Linked DNA regions of Drosophila melanogaster. The protein of the gene in region 3 interacts with the protein of the main gene of each other region in a pairwise test. Each region holds a gene or a part of one and is shown on either strand. Other genes may lie near its edges.

Region 1 (4,788 bases), on a different chromosome or scaffold from region 3:
AATGGAGGAAAGTTCGTCACCTGTCGAGGAAACAACAACGCTTTCTCCGCCTATAAGATGCCTCAGTTGTAAATTTTGCTCACCCAATGAGGGGAAAACCAGAACTAGGAAGGGCAAAAAGATGTGCCACATAAAGTTAGGCGAATTGAACGGTTGCGTATCTATGTACTTCAACTTCAACAGCAGTGCTGGAGGACCAGATGGCTTTATGGTGAGAAGCTGCATTTCCGACATGGACGAGAGTTCACTGGAACACTGCGAGAAACATGCAGAACTCTGTGAGAGGTGTTTCGAAGACGATTGCAACTATGTGGAAATAGATAAAAATGGTTTGGCCACGAATGCAGGATCGCGAATAATATACTCAAGTCTAATGATCTTCTGTTTAGCCGGCTGGCTCTTTAGGAGTGAAAAATGCAAACTTATGATTATATTATAGGCCTGTTCAGCTTAATAATGGCAAATTGAAAACCAAAATTATGGAATTCGGCGAAATCACCATCGTCATGTAATGGAAAATGTAATTTGAGTTACCTAAGAATGCTACAAATACTTTCTGAGACATTTCCAACTGGCTCTTCTAGTGCACCCAAACAAATTTCTTCGAACTATTGTTAATATAAACTCTCATTTTGATTGATGCAATAAATATACACACATATATGTACAAAGTATATTATTAATGGTACTGCGGTTGATAAGGCGTTGTGATTATTTCTTTATTTGATAAGGCCTAGCAGGTTGAAAACTCTTTTACCACTAGCCATCAATGAAAACAGGGTTTTCCAAGGACATAATTACTAAACTACTGTGAAAGAGTAATTGTTTTATTAAAATGATTTATTTGGGATTATGGAAGTGTTCTTAAAATGCTTCAGCTCCTATAATTAGGTTATGTCTTTTTGTCTGTTGCTTTGTAATAGTTAACATTACTCATAGACCCAGGCACCCGGTAATTTGATTGGATCATCCAACTACGTGGAGGTGGTTGGATTACAGGGCACTGCGTAGAGCGATCACCACTCCCGTCAGAAGGCCGACCACGCCCACATTCCTGAGTGCGCCTGCTCCATTGAAGGGTACCTTGTTGCACTTGCTCTCCGTACACAATTCGCACTGATGGGCCTCCACTTTGGCATTGCACTGGTACTGCATCAGGTGGCTGGCAGCGGTAAAACATCCTCGCACTCCAAGTTCATCTGGGGGAAAATGTTGAAAGGCAATTGTTAGGATTTTTGCTGGCATAATAATAATGCAATTTGGGAATACCCTTTTACATTATAAAATAAAATCTTTGAAAACTATAGCATTGATTCGCTGTGCTTAGACTTGGTACCAACTTACTCCAGACTCCGCTGTAGCACGTTCCATTGGGGCAGTTGATCAAAGGGAGCGTGTCCGGATATTTGGCCGACCAGCAGCCGGAAACCTCATTCGAAATGCATGTAATGCACTGGAACTCGCCGGCAGCCACATTGCAGCCATTTTCGGAGCAGGAAGTGCAGGCATTGGTTGTAGAGCAGCCAGCCTCCAAGGTGTTTAGGCACCCTCGGGTAACATTGGTTCCTGAGGTCATGGTATAACACCCGACTTCCTGGTTGTACTTGGCCTGTCCGCAGGACTTCGCATTGGTAGCAACCTGTTGCTCCGCACAGTTCTCGCAAATGATACAGGAACCGGCCTCTCGTTCGTAGGTCGGACTATTGCAAAAGTCGGAGTTGCAGACGAGGCAACTGGGATCAGTGCTGTCCGACGCACACTTGATTTCCGTGGTGGCCGATGTGCAACCACGGGTCATGTTGCTCGCAGACGTTCCGGTGGTGAAGCACCCGGCATCGATTTGACTACATCCCGCGACCAAGGTATTTGAGACCGCATTGCAGTTCTCTCCTGAGCAATTATAGCACTGGCGACGATTGGCGGGGAATAGTCCCACATTGCACAGGGATGCCGAGCATGAGGAGCACGTGGATTCCGTTCCAGCAGCACAGGGGTCACCACATTGACGGGTCACCGTCTTGTTGTCATTCAACTGATTCACGCAGACCTGTCCATTATTGGGGCACACTGCATTGTATTGCGTATCCGTCACGTTGGTCGTGGCGCAATTCGCTTCGCCGAGGCACTGCTGGCACACCAAATTCAAATTGCAATTGTCTTCCTTGCAGGTCGAGCAGGATGGTAAGGTGCACGCAGTGCCATTAATCAAGCAGCCACGAGTTAGAGTTCCTATTGGGATACAGAAAATCAATAACTAGATGCAAGGGAATATGGTTCAGAGCAAAACTTCGTATGATTTCTAATATAAACTTATAATGATTTCTAATATAACTTATATATTCCTTATAAGTTGAGAGCCTGCAGATTCTAGTGGCGCCTAAGCTGTGCTAATTTCATTCAGATCATTTTCACGCCCACTCTAAAGCCCACAAAGCGTGCCAGATTCTACTGATACTTCAACAGAATGTTTAAATGTGTACCTTAAACTCCCACAAGCTGAATAAAGAGGTATCTGATGGTCGAGTGACTCCACTTTAGCGTTCTCTTCGTTATTAAATCAAATTATACGCAATATTTAAATCTTAGACAACAACACGAAAAAGCCAGGTAGTGCAGTAACTGCCAAATGAGTCACAACATCATAAACCTTTTTCGATCCGCACGAAATTAGAAAAGAAAACAAGGATCAATAGCTATCAAAAAGAAAAAGAGATAATCGCTTATCACCTTTGGTTGCACTGATCGATAAGAGGGCCACTACCCCCGTCTAAGAATATGAAATAGTCGGTCATGAGTCATACAAACCCACCTGCGTTAATAAGAGTATAGCATTCATTATCACACTCTATAGAAGTTTGAGTAGATGGACTCGTTAAACAATTTCCAGTGTCATTCGTCGTCGATGTGCACGAATAGCACTCTGCAATGGCAATAATAATTTGAAGTAAGTCATTTGAAAAAACTCATCCAAAATGTGGTAACCTACGGAGGGCTGAGGTGCTGTCCAGCTGGCTGGCAATGAAAGCTGCTATCACAATCATACACAGGCTGTATTCTCTCATGGCTCTCGGTTTTCTATTCTTTCTGGCTTCTCAACTGAAATGTCGGACCGGCTGGATCGACCACCGTTTTTTAACTGGCTCCCTCACTGTTTGGCCATATTTTTTTTACCCCCATTCGCATAATCAATTTCACCTGAACTCACTAACACCTGCCAAGCTCTTCTCCGCATGCAGTGGTTATCTGCTCTACACACATATATATGTTTGTATACATATATATATATATATATATATATATGTACAATCGGAGGAAGTCAGTTCTCTTTTAGCTGATAACTTCAATACCCAGGTGTAAATGTGCAAGTGTGTGTGTGTACAACGCTGTTCACATGCGATGATAGTTACCACAAGCCTGCATTTACTTTGGAGCTTTTGCAAAAGCTGAAAAATTAACCCATGCTGCCAACGTTCTTACCGTATTTCCTTAAACGAATATACATCAACAGTAACTTCCTGTTTCCGATCTAGCCGGCGGATAATTGAACACAATTATAACGATAATTAAATACTTTAATTAAAATTTGGTTTGCCTTGGCTGTACGGCAGTTATATGATATATTTTCTTTTGATTTTCATCAAATTAAAATATGGTCAAAAACTGTTGTATATCTCATACATATATTAATACTTACCATTATTTTTCGATTATCCCTATAACAGCAATATGATATAGTGGTCCAACCTATATGTATACTAACTGAAATTGAACGAAGACAAACATGACTGTATCGACTCTACTGTTGAATATACGAATCTGAATGAAATCAATGTACCATTTGCAAGGGTATAAAAATAAAAGGCGCCACCAAAAACTGCATGAATAATCTCAATTTCCAGATTTTACAGGTTCGACAAACTTTCCATTTGATTATGGATTGACTATAGTTCCATTGATAAAAAAAATAATGTAATTTGAACTAACAAGAAAGAACTCAATTCCTATCAGATACCCAGATTTAATTGAATAAATACACATTTGTAGGGTCAAAAACACTTTCTTGTTTCATAGTTTTTAACCCTTATATTCTACGAGGAAAGTGTACAATTATATATGTAAAGCTGTATTGCCCAATTTTCTGGCTAATAACATATAAACAATGTGCCTTAACTACAAGTCATATATCTTAACGATACTTGAGGATTGAAGTGAGACTTTTGTTTATATGTGAACGTTCGTTCTCAAGTTTATAATTTCGGTTACTCGTTCTTGAACTTATGTGTTTGCTTTTAAGTTTTTTTTTTTTTTATCGTTCGTTCCTAATTTAATATCGAAACTTAATTTTTCTCTCAGTGTCTTAATAAAAATTATTATTATTTATTGTATTTGGGCGACTTCTTAAATTCTGCACATGCCGGTGTTTTATGTTATTAAGGTTTAAGTTGAAGTCTAGACAAAATGATTCAATAAAACAAAGTACAAATAGTAAGTACATACTTTTATATCTTTTTATCTTTAGCATATCATTTAAGGTTTTTTTGAACCAGACTGGTATTCAACATAAAGCCATTATCTTCAAAAAATATAACCGAAATCTAATCTGGGTTATCTCCGGCGAATTTAGCACCGAGAGCTAATCATGTTGCTCACACTCAGTACCTTTAAGATCTTTTCTACGCGCGGACGTATTGCTGTTTAGTTGAATTTCTGGCATTGCAATTTAATAAATTAGTTCGTTGGAAAGCATGTTATACGTTGAAAAGTGCAAGTGACTTCAAGCCTAGAAGG
Region 2 (3,282 bases), on a different chromosome or scaffold from region 3:
TGTAACTTTCAATGTGACGCATTTTAAAACCATGCTTTTTAGTTGGGAAACTGAGAACGGCATCTTAGGCGAGGAAAGTGGACGCATCGAAAAGCTGACCGAGGAGGAGGGACTTCGTTCCAAGGGATTCTACGAGTACACTGGACCCGACGGCATCCTCTACCGCGTGGACTATGTAGCAGACGACAATGGCTTTGTGCCAAGTGCCGCCCACCTGCCCACAGCGCCACCACCACCGCCCTATGTGGAAAAGTTACTCGCCTTTTTGGAAGCAAATGCCAAGACGAAGAAATAAAGTTGGATTTTACAAGTGTATACATTTTAAATTGAATAAATTGATGTGCCATAGGAATTCAAAGGTGTTTCAATCAAGAGGACCAAATACTTTCAATTATCTACATCCTGTTTCTGAAGTCCGTAAGTTAGTTTAATTTTATCAGATTAAGGGATAAATATTCTTAATAGTTTATGGATTTTTCAAGTGTAATATATATGAGCCGTGAGCTAAACTCTAGTATATCTACTAAAGTTTGATATACCTTGATATAAAAACCACACTGTTTATTTATTTTCATTATTTATTGAATGTTTCTGAAACCGATTTACTCCCCTTTAATTGGCAACGTAGGCAGGATTCGTTGTTGTATGTACTCCAGGACTTCATTGATGGTATCATGAATCTTGCCAGGCTAAAGGAAAGCAATACTTTACTTAGCAATTCTAGAATTTTAGATATTTTTTGACTACTCACATCCTGCTCTGAATTGATGTTTGTTCTGGACTGTTGCTGCTCCTGAGTTGGCTGCACCACTGGCTCCTGGACAGGCTCCGATTGTAGCGGGTATACCGCCGTCTCCGGCTGACAGTTGATATGGCAGCCATCGTCGGGCTCCTGGTACGCATAGGCCTGATCCGAGTCCCATAGCTTGTTCTCCGTCAAGTAGCTGTACTCCTTGGTGTCTGGATGGGACTCATCGCCATCTCGTACCCATTGAAACTGGATTATCTGCCAGCCGGTGCCATTGAAATTAAAGTCGATCATGAATCGCAGATGATCTCGTGGACCGAGGGATAGACCTTCACCGGCCTCCTGGACCTTTGCCTCCAGTTGGCGCTGGGCATTCCGGAAAATGCCGCTCAAATCGGAGTCATAGGGAACACCACGATCTCCATAGCCGCCGTCATAGGGCCTGGGATCGTGCCGGTACTTTCCACTATCATCCGGAACATACCAACCCGTGGCACCGTGCAGGCGTGGCACATATCGGCCCGGCTTAAACGTGATCTTCGCCTGATCCTGATCCTGACCCAAATCTGGATCCTCGGCCCTGCAAGCCGCGATCAGCAATAGTGCAGTCAGCAAGCGTGTGTCCATATCGACTACTTGATTACGTCTGATTCGACCCCAATGCACCCGCTGGCCATTTTAGTTTGCCTCCCCGCCGACGATTGTTGTGCGGATAATAAATCGCGGTCTTTACGCCCAAGACGAGATCGTTTAGATGGCTTTAATACAGGCGCGACGCGGGTTTATTCGGTGGCTAACGAATCGATATCAGCTTATCCGTCTAGAATTCTTTGCATACTAACAAGCCATTTGGAAACAACTTAGTGGGCAACTAGTTTGCATTGGCAGTAGCGGATCGCCTTTAACCTTTCTGAGATGCAAGTCGACGCGGAGGAGCCGGTTCAAAAATTGGGGGCGACATCTGCAGGAGACAAATGGCATTAATTAAGTTGTGTTTAAATACCATAATTAGTTGTGTATTAAGATATACTACGAATGATTGATAACACTAGCTCTTTTTCAAAAGTCCCATGAAAAAGTCATTTTAAATTTTTAAATGTTGGATAAGTCTTATACATAACAACGAATCGAAATAATTTCCCTTTGATTTGTTTCAAAATTGTAGCTTCTTGTTTAGAAACCTGAACTAAATCGATGCAAGTCATTCACCTCTGGATTTATCGATTTGTGAATCAGCTTCCCGAACCCAGAAGAGATGATCCCCGAAAAAGACATTCAACTGCTTCATTCAACGAAGATCGATTGGCCAGACGAGTTTCAATTTGTTTACATTTCAGCAAATCCAATGGGATCAAAGGTAATTAGTGTCGCTTAAATCAAATTTAAGCCGCATCATAAACAATGAAACGCCCGTTTTGCATTAATGAGTATTAATAACAACAATGGCTGTCAATCAATCAATGCATCCAATTCGATATCCATTAATCAATTGTCAGAGCCGATGATTTTGGTAATCACAACATCGCGGTAGATCCGAGATTCTAGAATATTTAAAACGATGTGAGAAATCAAAGGCAGCCACGCCCCCAAAACAAGGTTTATCGATTCGAACTCTTGAACTTGCGGGGAACCTTGCGCATATTTGGATTATTCGATCGTGGTAAGGAAGTGACTAAAGTGAATGATGCTCCATGATTCATGGGGTGAAGAAACCCTGGTCACTCACTTAATTGATTCCAGGCAATCGATGGATCATCGACGGGGAATTAAAAATTCTATTAAAATTGCAACTTGTTGATAAGCCAACAGGTTAGCAATGCCCCCCTCCCCCTGCCACTCGTTCTCTTTTTGTAACTCGTAGAATCTGGTTTGTTTCGAGTATTTTAAATTATTCATCTGAAATAAATAAGGTGAGACTGCCCCTGGCAATATGGTGCGTAATTTGGTGTTTTGCGGGTAATTAATTAATCTTGTTTGAATACATACTCCCCCTGCCAAACCATTATTTTTCGTACAAATCGTCCTTCGAGCCGTAAATTTATGCGAGTGCGCAAATTATCACCACTTACAACTGACAATTGGCAACTATACGTGGTCATATATATAAATTGATTTTAGTCACATACTTTGTTGCCAACAGACGGCGCCTGCAGTTAAATATTTAACGACAATTCTGCGGTCCAGCCAACTGGATTTATCTGGCATTAATGGATAAAGTAGGCAGTTCTGTGGAAATGGAAGTCCGCTGGGCAAAAAAATATCAAAATTCCATTGCGCTGATGTCATCTTGATCATCCGGCCGCCGGAGAAATAACATCACATTTCTCTTTTTCGCACTTGTCAGCCTGGAAATTTATTTGCACGCGACTTTTCCTTTTATATACAAATTTATTTTATGGATCTCCTTACAAGGGCCGCAATGGAATTGCTTTGAAATTGATTTTACTTAGCATCTCCATGGAGGGGCTAAGTTGCCCACCCGTGCAGGATTGATCAATAATTCGAGAGCTTTGAACCCGCCAACACTCGGGTTA
Region 3 (2,903 bases):
AAATAGGCAATAAATAGGATTTCTCAGGCGTTGTTTCTCTGTCTCAGCAGATTAATAATATCAAAAATGGGAGGTCCGAAAAAACTTTCAATGGCATTCGTTTCGAAGTCAATGACTCTGGGCATCGAGATCGAGTCGAATAAGCAGGGGAACTTAAGTAACGACAGCGACGGCGATGTAGATGAATTAAAAAATTGTGAAAATCAGGAATATCTTTACCATCTTTACCATATCTTTACCGGACTCTGATGATAACTTTTGGAAGGACTTTTCTGAACAAGCCGAAGCCTTCAAAGTCCTTAGAAAAGATGTGCGTAAGATCTTCCGAACCTCCTTATGTGAGCTAGAATACAAAAAGGCTGCAAGACACTAAGGCCTCAACATCCTCCGTATCGAATGTATCTTAGAATTATTGGATCGGTAAGTTGTTTCTCTCATTTAATAAACGGTGTTCGTTGTGGTCTTAAATCTCAGAACTATTGTAAAAACTTTAAATAGTAAAGTAGTTTGATTTGTAGCTTTTTTCTGCACTTTGATATATTTACCTACTATTTAAGTTAACAATTTTGTAGTTCTATTTACAATAATTAAGTCGGTCCGAATCGCTTGCAGTCAGTCAGTTAGGTCAGCTCCTCTACCACCACTTGTTGCTCTTGTCCTCCCATTTGCTGCTGGTGTCCTGTTTGACATCCACGTAGCTGGTGGCATGACCATGCCCATGTCCGTATTGCTGGCCATATGAGTGGCTGTGCTCCAAGTGACTGGCGTGTCCCACATGCTTCACGGTTGCCTGGAATCCGTTGTGGGAGTCGGCGGTGTACTCAACGATCCTGGTGCGTCCGTCGGCCTCCTTCATGGTGTAGCCTCCCTTGACCTTGTCGCCATCGCGGGTCTCCCACTGCTGCTTGATGTCGCCGGTCTTGGTGTCCTTCACCCCGTAATTGAATTCGTATTTGGGATGGTGTTTGGGTTCCTCGTGGTGGCTCCACTGGTGGTGGCTATCGTGCGCAGCGACTGGAGCCCACTGCTGGTGGTGATGATCCTGAACTGTGCCCCATGAATGGGCCTTTGGGACATCCACCCATTGGTGGTGAGCCTGGTGGTGATCCTGCCACTGCTTGGGCGCCTCGTGATGCGTCTGGATGCTGTACCCCACGCCGTGTTCGTGACTATATCCACCATGAGGGATGTAGCTAGCAGCAGCCACTCCCAGAAGTGCGCAGCAGAGGATGCTCAATTGGTGGGCCATTTTCGTTGGTTTCTGATTGACTTGCCTGGCCTAAATCACGATTGGAACTGTTATAATCACCAGACAATGCCCAATGCTTTTATACTTCTGGCCATTCTATGGATCGATTAATTACATTTTAGACTGCGGGCTAAATAGGCTAGAAAAAAGTAAGAGCCCCAAAAATGGGTATAAAAAATGCTTCGAATTTTTGTGCAAATTTTCATTTTTCCCCATTCGTATTCATAGTCTTGGGCGGTCGGTCGATTGGCAAATTAAAACTTGCCAGAAACAACAACATCATCATTAAGCGGGGCGTGAACATCGCTCAAATGCTTGAAAAACGCAAAGCTTTTCGATTTTGTTGCTTAGAAATCAATCAACAAGTGTGGCCCGCTTTCAAATTGCTCAGCAATAGCCGCCTCGCCTCGCCTCGCTGCGTTTCCACGGTTGGACCCTCTTTTTCGCCTACTTCACTCCAAATGACCTTGAGACGGACGGTGCGGTAAGGGGCTGAGAAGGGGAGGGCAGCGTTGGGCGGACCGTCCAATCGGTTGGTGTTTCTGACCAGGGGGTCTGCTGTGGGGCACCCAGAGCTTCCGAATTGGTGTTAACTTACCGATAGTGTTTTTTAATGCATATAATTTACAAGGCTAATAGACTTTAAGCTCGGAAATTTGAAATGCGTGAAAATATAAGCATATTGGTATTTAGCCTACGTTATCTGATGTTAATTATTTTTAAGACGTTTATTTGCATAAATTGTTTCGCTATCTATAGGAATAACATGCATATTAAATAAAAAGAAATCCTGTAGTTCAAGTTTTAAAACTACTAATAACTATATAATAAATATAATGTTGAAGCCAACAGATTTCTAGGAAAAACACATAATTATTTATAGCAAAATAGGTTCGCTTTGGATATTTACATAAGGATTTCAAAGTACAACACTACAAAGTTTATTTATTGGTTAGTTTAACAGCATTTCCTTATTTCTTCAAGCAAAAGCTGCCGCCTTCATCAGTTCACATTCTCAGTCATAATTAATTTTTGTAAATTAAGCAATAAGTTCTTGCCTTAGTTTTTCCCTTCTCTTTGACTGAATACCAAACACATCGAACGATCTAACAAAAACTTTTTGGATCTGATATTATTAATTATTACTAGCAGAATTTAATTGTAACGGATTGGACTTTAAATAAAATGTGCCGATTTTCTATAGAGCTCAATGGCCGAAACAATAATAATAAGTACGAGTTAGTGAGGTAATTATCAAATCAGCTAGCTCGATTGGTGAATGGTGTGGCCAAGAGAATGACCACCCGATGGTTGATTGCCCCAGAGTCTTCGATAGCTATATATAGTCTAGGTGAGCTCCCCAAGAACCAGCAGACATCATCAAAGTTCCGATTGGAAAACAGCGAATAAGTGACCGATATGAAATCCTTTAGCGGAGGTCTGTTCTTTGCCCTTCTGGTGGGAGCCAGTTGGGCAGCTCCCCATGGTGGACACGCCACCAGCTACAGTTCGGTGACCAAGCACGAAGGACCCGTCCACAAGAGCCTGGGCTACGGATACGATCACGATGTGGTCAGCGCTTACGGTGGCATCTACGGACACGGCTATCCGAGTGTCGGCCATTCGGGCTACGGATACGGATACGACAAGCACG

The links.
Region 1: the proteins of Cpr76Ba (region 3) and CG10650 interact in a two-hybrid assay, tested with the Drosophila melanogaster proteins (one large-scale study listed by BioGRID).
Region 2: the proteins of Cpr76Ba (region 3) and CG13155 interact in a two-hybrid assay, tested with the Drosophila melanogaster proteins (one large-scale study listed by BioGRID).

The regions. Positions count from the first base shown.
Region 1 is NT_033779.5:18,992,793-18,997,580, forward strand, and holds CG10650 (uncharacterized protein), read right to left. Parts: upstream 3,143-4,788; 5' UTR 3,063-3,142; coding exon 2,987-3,062; intron 2,921-2,986; coding exon 2,810-2,920; intron 2,230-2,809; coding exon 1,345-2,229; intron 1,200-1,344; coding exon 994-1,199; 3' UTR 568-993; downstream 1-567. Other genes in the region: CG46465 (uncharacterized protein), read left to right, coding at 1-439.
Region 2 is NT_033778.4:12,379,047-12,382,328, forward strand, and holds CG13155 (uncharacterized protein), read right to left. Parts: upstream 1,381-3,282; 5' UTR 1,376-1,380; coding exon 752-1,375; intron 690-751; coding exon 603-689; 3' UTR 568-602; downstream 1-567. Other genes in the region: Cpr49Ab (cuticular protein 49Ab), read left to right, coding at 43-295.
Region 3 is NT_037436.4:19,517,027-19,519,929, forward strand, and holds Cpr76Ba (cuticular protein 76Ba), read right to left. Parts: upstream 1,307-2,903; 5' UTR 1,250-1,306; coding exon 635-1,249; 3' UTR 526-634; downstream 1-525. Other genes in the region: Cpr76Bb (cuticular protein 76Bb), read left to right, coding at 2,669-2,903.